Saccharomyces cerevisiae S288C: one gene and its partners. Changing the gene in region 3 together with the main gene of any one other region gives a genetic interaction. Each region holds a gene or a part of one and is shown on either strand. Other genes may lie near its edges.

Evidence for each region. A genetic interaction does not mean that the proteins touch.
Region 1: mutations in RTG1 (region 3) and RTG3 together harm fitness less than expected from each alone (positive genetic interaction), as found in Saccharomyces cerevisiae (6 studies listed by BioGRID).
Region 2: mutations in RTG1 (region 3) and SWI6 together harm fitness less than expected from each alone (positive genetic interaction), as found in Saccharomyces cerevisiae (3 studies listed by BioGRID, with this or other methods).

Annotation. Positions count from the first base shown.
Region 1 is NC_001134.8:21,511-25,199, forward strand, and holds RTG3 (Rtg3p), read right to left. Parts: upstream 2,027-3,689; coding exon 566-2,026; downstream 1-565. Other genes in the region: SFT2 (Sft2p), read left to right, coding at 2,588-3,235; ECM21 (Ecm21p), read right to left, coding at 3,436-3,689. UniProt on the Saccharomyces cerevisiae protein: Transcription factor that regulates CIT2 gene expression. Binds to two identical sites oriented as inverted repeats 28 bp apart in a regulatory upstream activation sequence element (UASR) in the CIT2 promoter. The core binding site is 5'-GGTCAC-3'.
Region 2 is NC_001144.5:516,026-520,916, reverse strand, and holds SWI6 (transcriptional regulator SWI6), read right to left. Parts: upstream 2,978-4,891; coding exon 566-2,977; downstream 1-565. Other genes in the region: TOS4 (Tos4p), read left to right, coding at 1-374; VTA1 (Vta1p), read left to right, coding at 3,247-4,239; methionine adenosyltransferase SAM1, read right to left, coding at 4,507-4,891. UniProt on the Saccharomyces cerevisiae protein: Part of a complex involved in cell-cycle-dependent transcription. SWI4 and SWI6 are required for formation of the cell-cycle box factor-DNA complex. The repeated element in the upstream region of HO (5'-CACGAAAA-3') is called the cell cycle box (CCB).
Region 3 is NC_001147.6:201,485-204,384, forward strand, and holds RTG1 (Rtg1p), read right to left. Parts: upstream 1,035-2,900; coding exon 501-1,034; downstream 1-500. Other genes in the region: histone deacetylase HST1, read right to left, coding at 1-395; bifunctional DRAP deaminase/tRNA pseudouridine synthase RIB2, read right to left, coding at 1,212-2,900. UniProt on the Saccharomyces cerevisiae protein: Required for a novel path of interorganelle communication between mitochondria, peroxisomes and the nucleus, thereby maintaining a functional metabolic interaction between the tricarboxylic acid and glyoxylate cycles.

The DNA.
Region 1 (3,689 bases), on a different chromosome or scaffold from region 3:
ATTTTCTCAATAAATGAGTTACCCAAGTAAGCTTTCCATTGATACAAGTGATCTACATTCTTGCGACGCCAAATTATAAAGCACTAAAAATCATATCATACCCAATTGCGGGCAGCACATGTATATATTATACACTACTTATAACTAACCTTCTTCATATATAACAATATGCCTGATAATACTAATGCATTTAAATCATATCATGAAAGAAAATTACATGGGTTTTATTGACATAATTGCATTTAGAATACATAAAATTCTAAAGAATTAATATATCCAAAGTATTAGACATAACCAAGAATAATAGTGAATAATTTTAGATTTTGTTACATATAATTCTGCTTGCCTATCTCTTCCACTCTTTTCAAAACGTTGCATGTAAGCGTTACTAATATTCCGCTTTATTTTGTTGCAATTCCTAATTTTTTCATTACATTATCTTGCGAGTACGGAAGCGATTAACGTTCTCCCAATAGAAGGAACAAACATAGATATTGAAGTTTTACTGCTTTTGCTTACCTGACCTTTTTCAAATTTAATTTTTTCCCGCTAATAAGACCATAAACTACCCCGAACCAAATTCTAAAAGATAGTCAGCTGGATTAGAGTTGTCATCTCCAAACATTAATTTTGCATTATCTTCGGCTTCAATCAAATCGCCTGATAAGAACTCCTTTAATTCTTCATGAATGTTTGTATGTGGATGACTCTCCATAGTGCCAGCATGATTGTGGTTACCGACCGAATCATATAACGGTGGCTCCCAATTGTGCAATTCAGCCTTACTATTTTGTTCATTCATCAAAGCATTTGGGACAGATCTAATATCTATAATTCTTTCCTCACTATTCTCGCTATTATTTTGCCCCGAACTGGCATGGTGGTTATTGGTAAAAGGAGATAATGCTGCGACAGAACTTTTCTTCTCTTCCAATTCTTTTATCTTCGCCAATAACGCCTTCTTTTTTCGTGCTTGTATTTCTAAAATTTCGGCCAGGTATTGTAAATATTCGACCGTTCTATCCAAAATGATACCCTTATTTGGTTTGATTTGTTTACCTAGGTCATCGTAATTCAATAAAGATGGTGGAACCAACTGGCCGAGTTCTTTTATCTTTTGCTTTATTAATTCTCTTCTTCTCCTTTCGACGGCATTATGAAACTCTCTTTTGCGCCTCAGTTTCTCATCAGAAGTTAACCCGCCTAAAATCTTTGGAACACTTCCAGGTCCTATATTTTCAGTCATATTGCTACTTATTGAAGTGTGTCTTGTTCTGGGTGTGTTTATGCTACCATGCCTAAAAGAAGATGAAAGGAAACTTCCTGCACGAAATGACGATGATGGTGATCTTACCTTTGGGGAATATGTGGAAGATACGGATGCTGGGCCCAAGCTTTGTGGATTATAAGAAAATGATGATGAATATGTGTTTGGTGTCATCATATCAGAATTGATGCTAGAAGATAAAGAGGAGCTCAAATCATCAGTTAAGTTATACATTGTGTCATCGGTGCCATGCTGAAATAAAAAGTCATGTGGTAACTCAGCTTTTAAGCCTTCTTGTTGCTGTAATGGAGTATTCATTGCTCTATCCACAGGTGAGTCGTAAGCCATAGAATAAGATGATCTCAAGGGACCCTGCCCTATGGAAGATATGGAATTTTGAGTGACAGGTCTACCGCCTTGGCTTGTTCTAAACATATCATCCAGGTAAGACGATTGCGATTCTGCTTCCTCATATATGGTCGAAGCTGTAGGAGTTTGTGAATTGGACCTCGCTTGACTGCCCATTAAGTTATTATTATCGTTAGAGTTGTGCGTATTGATGTATGAGAGTTTTTCATGCTGTTGGGCAGGAGTCTCACCACCTGGGTAGGCACTTCCGTGTATCTTGTAATCATCATTGTGGTGTGGAGTGGGTGTCACTAACGAAAAATCTAAAGTTTCCTGGAGGACTTTTGTCTGGTTCATTAATTCGTCCAGTAGACGTTGGTTCTCAGCCTCACTTTCGTTATTGTTCATCATTCTTCACTTATTTAAGAAGTAGGTTCGCCTGACAAAAAATAAGAGTATTCTATTAAAGGATACTTGTCAACTAAGTAATGTGAATGCAGTAATGTCGTTTTTGTTATCTTATATATGCTCACGTAAGACAGAAATTCGGATTGTGAAAAATTCCTTGATGATTCCGTGCAGCCTCTAGCCAAAATAGCAACTGCGAGTAAAAAATAATGTACTAACCTGCAGTAATATTGGAGATCCTACTGTCCGGACCGAGTAGTACAATTGTTAGTTTCTGTTGCTCATAAGAAGGCTTTTCTAATCACCATGGCTTTATTATTTCAAAAGTAACTTGCGAAGAGTCACATCCCGCGGAACGGCCCGCAATCGTGACCCGGCAAAAGGCGATTGTAATGAAGAGGGAGTATTGGTCAAGACTTGTACTATACTGAAATAGGAAGAAGATTGAATAAATTTGCATTCTAATTGCGTTCGGTAGTTTAGAGTAGGACTTAGATTACCTGTATTGTCTGCAGTTGCGTTTTTTTTTTTTGCTGGTAAAAAAAAAGAACAAGTGTGGAGAATATGAGCGAGGAACCACCTTCTGACCAGGTCAATAGTCTCCGTGACTCATTGAATCGATGGAATCAAACAAGACAGCAGAACTCGCAGGGTTTTAATGAATCTGCGAAGACATTGTTCTCAAGCTGGGCGGATTCTCTCAATACCAGGGCCCAGGATATATATCAGACGTTGCCTGTATCTAGACAGGACTTGGTGCAAGACCAGGAGCCGTCGTGGTTCCAATTGTCAAGAACGGAAAGAATGGTACTTTTTGTCTGTTTTCTTTTGGGTGCAACAGCCTGTTTCACTCTTTGTACTTTCCTTTTCCCCGTTCTAGCCGCTAAACCAAGAAAGTTTGGTTTACTATGGACAATGGGGTCCCTACTATTTGTTCTTGCGTTTGGGGTACTTATGGGACCACTCGCGTACTTAAAACATTTGACTGCAAGGGAAAGGCTGCCTTTTTCGATGTTCTTTTTCGCCACATGCTTCATGACGATTTATTTCGCAGCCTTTTCCAAGAACACGGTGCTGACTATTACATGTGCTCTTCTTGAATTAGTTGCCGTCATTTATTATGCTATTTCATATTTCCCATTCGGTGCAACAGGTTTGAGGATGTTAAGCTCTGCTGGTGTCAATTCGGCAAGAGGTGTTCTGCGCATCTGAATTATCATTCATAGTGCATATTGAATTGATTAGTTGAAGAAGAAAAATAATGTTTATGTTATAAGAAACAATAATAAAGAGATTTATAACCTAACCTAATTAAATAGCATGTAGTCAACAAAAAGGGAGTAAAACATGCAGTGGCTCTATATATATAATTATCGTAGAATAATTCAAAAAAAAATAAAAAACGAAAAAATTCATTCTTCATCACTCATCAAAGGCACTATTTCGTCATAACGCGGAGGCTCGTTACCATGAGAGAGTAGCGAATCTGCGGAGCTCGAACTTACTATTCCTTCTTGTTCTTCATCATCTTTTACATTCGCTAAAGTGTAACCCTTTTTGAAAAATTCGTTCTGTTTGTCCTTAGAGTTTTCAGTGGTAGCGTTTGGAATCCTCACAGTACCATTTGCTTGTGATAAGCCATTTGTTGGTGATGAATTGTGAGATC
Region 2 (4,891 bases), on a different chromosome or scaffold from region 3:
AGAATTTGGATGAGCTATCTAGAAGAAATATTGATGTTATGCATCTACAGCATATTTTAACCAATCACCTAGCTTTTGCAAACGTCCAGCAGACGCCATTATTCCAATTACAGCAGGTGAACTCACAAATTTCTGAGCTTTCAAGAGATGAATTACGTTCGATTTTGAGCGACGCGAAATGTGTCGGTGTCATTTACCGTCATGGTAAGGACGCCGCCGGCAAACCATTGGACGAAGAGTATTTCTACGATTTAGAAAACGATGATGATTACGAGAGAAGAAACTTGGTGAGTTCATTAAAAGGTGGAAGGACAGGCTTAAGATCTTGTAGAAGGACACATAAACAATATTTTTGGAAAAAGCCAGCAAAATAGAACATTTTATTCCATCGGATATATGATAAGAACAAGAAAATAAAACATCAAGTGCCTATATATCCCATCTGAGTACGTAAAAATTTTGTAAGAATACAGTTATGTAGTAAAATAAAAGTAAATAAAGCGCTAAAACAAAAAAATAACTTCAAATAAAGTCATAAAAGTTAATGCAATGAAATCACATGCCCTCATGAAGCATGCTTTTTTAAAAAATCTTGCATTTCGTCAGTGTCAATGTCTTGTGGGTCTTCAGAAGATATGGCCTGTAACAAACCATCAAGCATATTGTCAACTTTATTTTCGTCGATTTTCAAACATAAAGATAACACTCTTCTAAATTTATTCTCTAATTCTGATTGTTTGGTGCTGATTGTATCCAATACATTGGTTAGGTGTTTATCATTCCGCTTGTATGCATTTATTCTTGCCTTCAATAAGACCGTTGGTGGAAGCATCGATTGGATTTTTTCTGCGGGAAGTTGATTTCGTATCTGTTCCATTATCTGCTCTTTCGACTCCGCTTCTAATAGTTTGGAAATATCGCCTTCATAATTCTTTTGTAATTTATCCTCCAAGAAATCTGAAAGGAACTCTACTTTGAAGGGTTCATCTGCATCATATTCGCTAGAGTCCCAATCAATACCTGAACTTTCATCTGCAATTATTCCTAGCTTTTTGCTCTCTTCCCTAAAACTTTCCTCTTCTTCTTCAATTCCTGCTTTTAAATTGGTCAATTGCTCTTGCATTAGTGAGTATTCATCTTTCAATTGCTTCACATTTGCTAGTTGTTCTCTAGAATTAGCTAATTCTTCTCGCTGTTCGTTCAATTCCTTGTGTAGTTTTTCTAATTTCTCATTATATTGCACTGTTTCATTCTCATAATCTTTCGAGATTGAATTCAGTAAATTTTGGACATCATTAATTAACGAAGTTGTTTCAGGTGGGTTTTTCAACAGTTGAGACCTTATTTTTTTGGCCTTTCCATTTTTTTGACCGTCGTAATCACCCTTAGAGACCATCTTCGAGTTTTCGTCACCGCCGTTCGTATTTTGTAATTTTGAAGTACCTGCCCCAAAATCCACGGGTCTCAACCCTGATTTGTTTGCAATAAATGGGTCAGCACCGTAATCTAATAAAGCGTCTACTATTGAAATGTTTCCCAATCTTGCTGCAATGTTCAAGCAAGTATCGCCATTAGAGTCCTGCGCATTGAGCATGTTTGCTATTATCCATTTCAGGTCCAAATTTTCTAGTATAGAGTCCTTTCTTTCCCCATTTTTGTCATTCGGTTTGCTTTCTTTTTCGTTAGTACCACTTTGAATGGGTCTATTTTGTTTCTTGACAATCCATCCCATTAAAATATCTAAATAATATTTCGCAGCTGCTGAACAGCCAGTCATACCAGACGTAATAATGATATGGTGCAAAATTGTTCTATTCATTGAGTCTTCCAAAATTAAACATGGATATAAATAATCTAGAAGTGCCTCAAAAGTACCAGAGTCGTAATTATTTACTGATTTGACAGCTTTCACTAGGCATGACTCCCCCATATTATCACCATATAATCTGTTTGAACCATGCTTAACCAGGTGTTTCACTAATTCCAGGTTTGCTATTGAAGTCAGCCAATGTAATGGTGTGTTTCCATGCTCATCTACAGGAATATTAAGATTTAATTGAGTATTAGGAAAAGCGTCGTTTACCTCTTGCAAAAGGCTATCAAATGATACGTGCTGTTGTTGTTGGTTTGAGCTCCCCCCTTCTGAATTTCTATTACTGCTGTCATTATTAAGGGATGTAGGCATTTCTTGAATTTCTGGAAATAACAACCGTTGTAAGAATGCCTCTAGTTTCATCTTCTGTTCATTATCATTTACAACTGGAGAAGGTAGTGCTTTCATGATTTTCAGTGGACTGCTTAAAAAGTCAGAAGTTAGGTCATGAGTGAATGTTATGATAGGTCCAGCGGTTCTGTCATTGTCATCAGTGCCATTATTTTCATTGTCGCCGCTAGGGCCCTTATTAATATCATCGTTAGGCTTGCCTCTGGCAGTATTCGGAGTGGAGTCACTCTCAGCATCTATTACAGAGGTATCTATTTTTAGTTTTTTTAAAGGAGAGCCTAATTCTCTGTGTGCATCAGAATCCAGGCTCATATCTTGTAAATTATTAATCCTCTTTGAGCTGATATTATCCTTAGAATTTTCACTTTTGGTCTTGTTTTCTGGTAGTTTCGAATGGCTGGGATCTTCTTCATCCTGATCTGTTTCAGGCTCCTCAAATTCGAATGCATCCTGGAACAAACCGAATAAATTTAGCATGTTTAATAATTGTAAACATTTTTCCAGCTCTATCCATAACTCACCTCGGTCGTCTGTATTTACAGCAATTCCATAATGTGCCAGTAATTTATTTCTTTCCTCATCAGTGGGGAAACTATCGGGGTTGGTCTCGTTAATATTCCCCGTGTCATGATATTGCTGCAAAATGGGCAGAAAATGTTTCAGGAGGAAATGGCCAGTCTCCGAGTCTCTAGTGAGTGTCAAAGGGATCTCATTGTGAGGTCCTAAGTATCGTACCACTTCTTCCAACGCCATCCTCTCGAGAATTATACTGTGTTCCCCTTTATTATTCTTTTTTTTTTAGCTATTGCTTAGTTCATATTGATGTTTCTCAATCGTGTTTTTTGTTGTTTTTTTTTATTATTATGAAATCGTTGGAGAAGGAAACTAAAAAAAAAAACTAAGATTTGGTGAATGATCTTATCCAAACGGTCCAGATGAAGACAAAAAAAGGAACAATAAGCTTTCTTATTTTATTTGATTCAATTTTTAGAAACTAATTGTCCACATTTTAAATAAATTCTATGGCTAGTAACGCTGCAAGGGTTGTCGCTACAGCGAAGGATTTTGACAAAGTTGGGTTAGGGATCATCGGATACTATCTTCAGTTATATGCGGTGGAATTGATACTGAGTGAAGAAGATCGGTCGCAAGAGATGACCGCACTAGCGACAGAACTTCTTGATACTATTGAAGCGTTTAAGAAGGAGATTGGCGGCGAGAGTGAAGCAGAAGACAGTGACAAAAGCTTACACGTTATGAACACGCTAATACATGATCAAGAAAAAGCCAAAATTTATATGCTAAATTTTACAATGTCGTTGTATAACGAGAAACTGAAACAGCTAAAAGATGGTCCCTGGGATGTTATGTTAAAAAGATCACTTTGGTGTTGTATTGATTTATTTTCATGCATTTTACACCTGTGGAAGGAAAATATAAGTGAAACGAGTACAAATTCATTACAAAAACGAATTAAGTATTGCAAAATTTATTTGAGTAAATTGGCAAAGGGTGAAATTGGTTCCAGCGACGAGAAAACGTTAGATTATGCAGATTTTGCGGATGATAGCGAGGAGATTAAGGATGAAGATGTTGATCACCAGACAAGCGATTTGGAAAACAATAATAATGATAAAGTCGAAGGCCTAGCCCCAAAAGACCAAACAACATCATACGAGCCTGTGGATGAGGTACCTGAATTTATTGATGATGCCGATAGCGTAAACGAAGAAGAACAGACCGTCGACAAGAACGAAGATGCAATAACAAAAGACGAACAACAAGTTGTGAAGAAAGAAGTGGATCTTACGCGCCCTTCTGCACCATCAGAACCTGCTGCAGCAGAGCATAAATCGTATACAAAGGATGAGTTGACAAAAATTATGGACAGGGCCAGTAAAATAGAGCAAATTCAAAAACTTGCCAAATACGCCATAAGCGCATTGAATTATGAAGACCTGCCCACCGCCAAAGATGAGTTAACTAAGGCGTTGGATCTGTTAAATTCTATTTGAATAAGATAAAGTTTGGTTTGTTGATCCGTTGAAGGAGGTATATATTAATATTAGTAGTTACGTATTAAATGTTAGAAAGGAAAAGGAATCCTGTATAATGCAAAATGAAATCGATACAAATTTGATTTGAGAAAAATGAGTCTATATCAAGAATATGATGGTATTGCGTCCCTGCATCAAATACGGTATAATGTACATGTTGACTTGTGTTGAGCAAATGAAAACATGGGAGGTTGAAGGCAGAAAAAAGTCCAAAAGGAAAAAAGCTTAGAACTTCAAAGTCTTAGGCTTTTCCCATGGGTATTCTTGGTTTGTGAAATGGCCATAAGAAGCGGTTGGCAAGTAGATTGGTCTAGCTAAGTCCAACTCCTTGACCAATACACCAGGTCTCAAGTCAAAGTTCTTGCTGATAATGTCGATAATTTCTTCGTCAGACTTGGTCGCAGTACCATAGGTGTCAACGTGCAAGGACAATGGTTCCGCAATACCGATGGCATAAGAAAATTGAACTTGAACTCTCTTACATAAACCAGCGGCAACTAGGGACTTGGCAACCCATCTAGCGGCATAAGCGGCAGAACGATCAACCTTAGAGTAGTCCTTACCGGAGAAGGCACCACCACCGACGGATGAGGCACCACCGTAAGCGTCG
Region 3 (2,900 bases):
GAAGTGATATTAGAGTTTAACGCCATAAATAGTTCTTTATCTTTGACGTCGAATCCCAGCAATTTTATCATGAAATAAATGTAGATCGAGTTGACTTCCACTGGCAAAAAATATTCTAAAAAAGTTTTCAAATCGTTGTCCTTCAAAAACAGTCTTGCATTCATAACATCATCTTTAGTGATTGCAGGAAAGATGAATTTGCCCGTCACCTTATCCTTCCCGAGGATACAAGGGTACGTTAATCTCGTTTTCAGCTTCTTCGTAGCATTATTATCTGACTCTTCTTCTTGAGGTCTTTTCAACATTGTCATGGTCAGCTCTCCAACATGAAAGTATCGCCCTTGACTAACCACCAAAATAAAACTAACTATCCGTTGCATTAGCAATATGTTCATTTAGATTTTTTTTTCTCACAAAAACAACAAAAAAGAAGAGAAGTGTTCGTATCACTACCAACGAGGGTTATCACAACATAGCAATAGTGAGAGTCAGAAGTACTTTTAGCTACCATTACCGTACTCACCATACCCTCCGTACTCGAAGGAGCTCAACCTCTTTGCTGGCGGTCTTACTGAGTCATCATTTGTTGCGGCCAGCGGTCCCACGCCAATCCTGGACAGGGCGACTTCAGCGCTGGTGTTCTCTAAGTTTATATCGTTGACAATGGTGCCTGTCTGCTTGGCCAACTGAGTGGCCTTCACCATCAGTTCCACCTCCTCTCTGTTCTGTGTGTCCACTTGATTTTGTAGATGTGATATGTACTCTACCGCCTGTGTGAGAATTTGGCCCTTGTTGGGCTTTCCGTCCTTGGTCCCTGTACCTTTGGCCTTGCTGGACAACCCAAGCGCACCGGGAGTGGATTCACTTAACGTGTCATTGCTACCAGAATTGCCGTAATAATCTCTAAAGAAGTCTTTGGGAATGATACTCAATAGTTCTTGAATACGGTCGTTGATCTTATCTCTGCGCTTGCGGTCATTCTTGAAATTAGCACCGCAGGACCCAGGATCAGTGCCAGCTGGAATGCTGCTCATGTTTGGTGTTGTGCTTTCTTTTGGTTCACTATCTAGTGTTTTTTGTCTGTGTTGTGGTTGAAGTTAATTCCATTCTTTTTACTCAAAATTTTCGGTGGCGCCTTTTTCCGTTTCCAGTAATGAGTGGTTATTGTAGATATGATGTAAGATTACATGATAATATATATGCTAAATAGTCTAAGCTTTGTCGTCACTATTATCGTGGCCTTTGAAGGCAATGATGGTGCACTCCTCCTCGTAGCCTGGTATTTGTATGTAGTTCACACCGTGCGATTCCAGCTTGTTCAAACTTGTATTGTTTTTAACAAATGTATCGGGCTCCATAACCCCCACGAAGACAGTACCAATGGCACCTTGGGTGGCCAGGATTCTATCGCAGCAAGGCTCATTGCCACTTAGCCTGAAGGAACAGGGTTCCATGGTTGTATAGAGCACTGTTCCCATAGGGACTATAGTGGGACAGTTCGGGTGTAACTGCGAGTACTTTATCAAAGCACACTGTTCTGCATGAGTGTTTCCTGGTAGCTCTCTTGAATATCCTGTGGCAAGTACTTGAGTTCCATGAACAAGAACGGCACCAACACTAAAAGCAGTCTTTGTCGGGCCACACTTACCAGCTTCCTTAACGGCCATTTCCATATATCGGCGATGTGGCTCTAAGGCCCATTCAGGGTATTTTGTTCTATAACTCCAGAGAGGTTTTTGCGTATCCGAATTTCTTTCCAATGACTCGTACCGGAAGGCATGCAGCCAGAGGTCGAGATCATTAGTACCGGGATCTGTGTACATTTCAGCCTCGCATTCTTCGCACTGACGGCCAAGCAAGTATTCACCCTCGCTATGAGGATGAATCCAGCTCTCTGCAGGATTAGTCTTGCCAATAGCGTCTAGTTTCAGAACGATGTCATCATAGTTTTGAAGTCCACCGCGGCCCAAATCTGGACCCCAGATATCTGGGTTCGAGTATATAGGGTCATTTGCTATGGGAAATCCCAAGTACTGCAAATGGACTCTTATTTGGTGAGTTCTACCTGTCAATGGTTTACACTTTACAATACTCGTCTGTCCATCATAGCTAACCCTTTGGAAAACGGTCTTGGCATGTTTAGCGTTTTCATCGCTCATCTCGCAAACAGCGTTTAGTGCAACTTTAGGGTTAACAGATCTGACAGGCTTATCTACCTCTACTATACCTATAGGGAACTCGCCCTTCACGCGGGCTACGTATTCTTTGGTGACTTCCCTCGCTTTCATTTGGTCTCCCATTCTATCTGCACCTAATGGAGTCTTGGCTAAAAACATTAGTCCACTAGTTGGCTTGTCTAGTCTATTACATGGATGTACTGAATAACCTAGCTGTCTTTCTAGCATTTTTGTAATGGTATTGAATCTGTATCTGCCCGTTGGGTGCACTGGAATACTGCTGGGTTTATCAATGACAAGGATATCTTCGTCTTCAAACACAATATCTATTGGTTTAGATGTGACTGGCGGTTCATGTCGATGTACTTTATGTGTGATCAGATCACCGTCACGAATGATGGTATCAAGGTTTGCAGGTTCATCGTTTAAGTATACTTTTCCCTCTGCAATGGTTTTGGAATAATAGCTGGGCTCTCGATCCCTGAATTCGCTCACGAATACATCCACCAACTTACGATCTCTCCACCTCTCCTTACAGAAAGTTTTATAAGTGAAAAAATAAGGCTCAATCTTCCTTAAGGGTCCATCAATTGTCACTTCATAATCAGGGTCTGTCTTTTTAGTTTTGTGCCCATCGGTTTGAATAACTCTCAGTCTGAATCCACTCGCATCTTTGACTTTGGAACTGTTTTCGTTCCTATTATTATTCCTGTTCGCGAATTT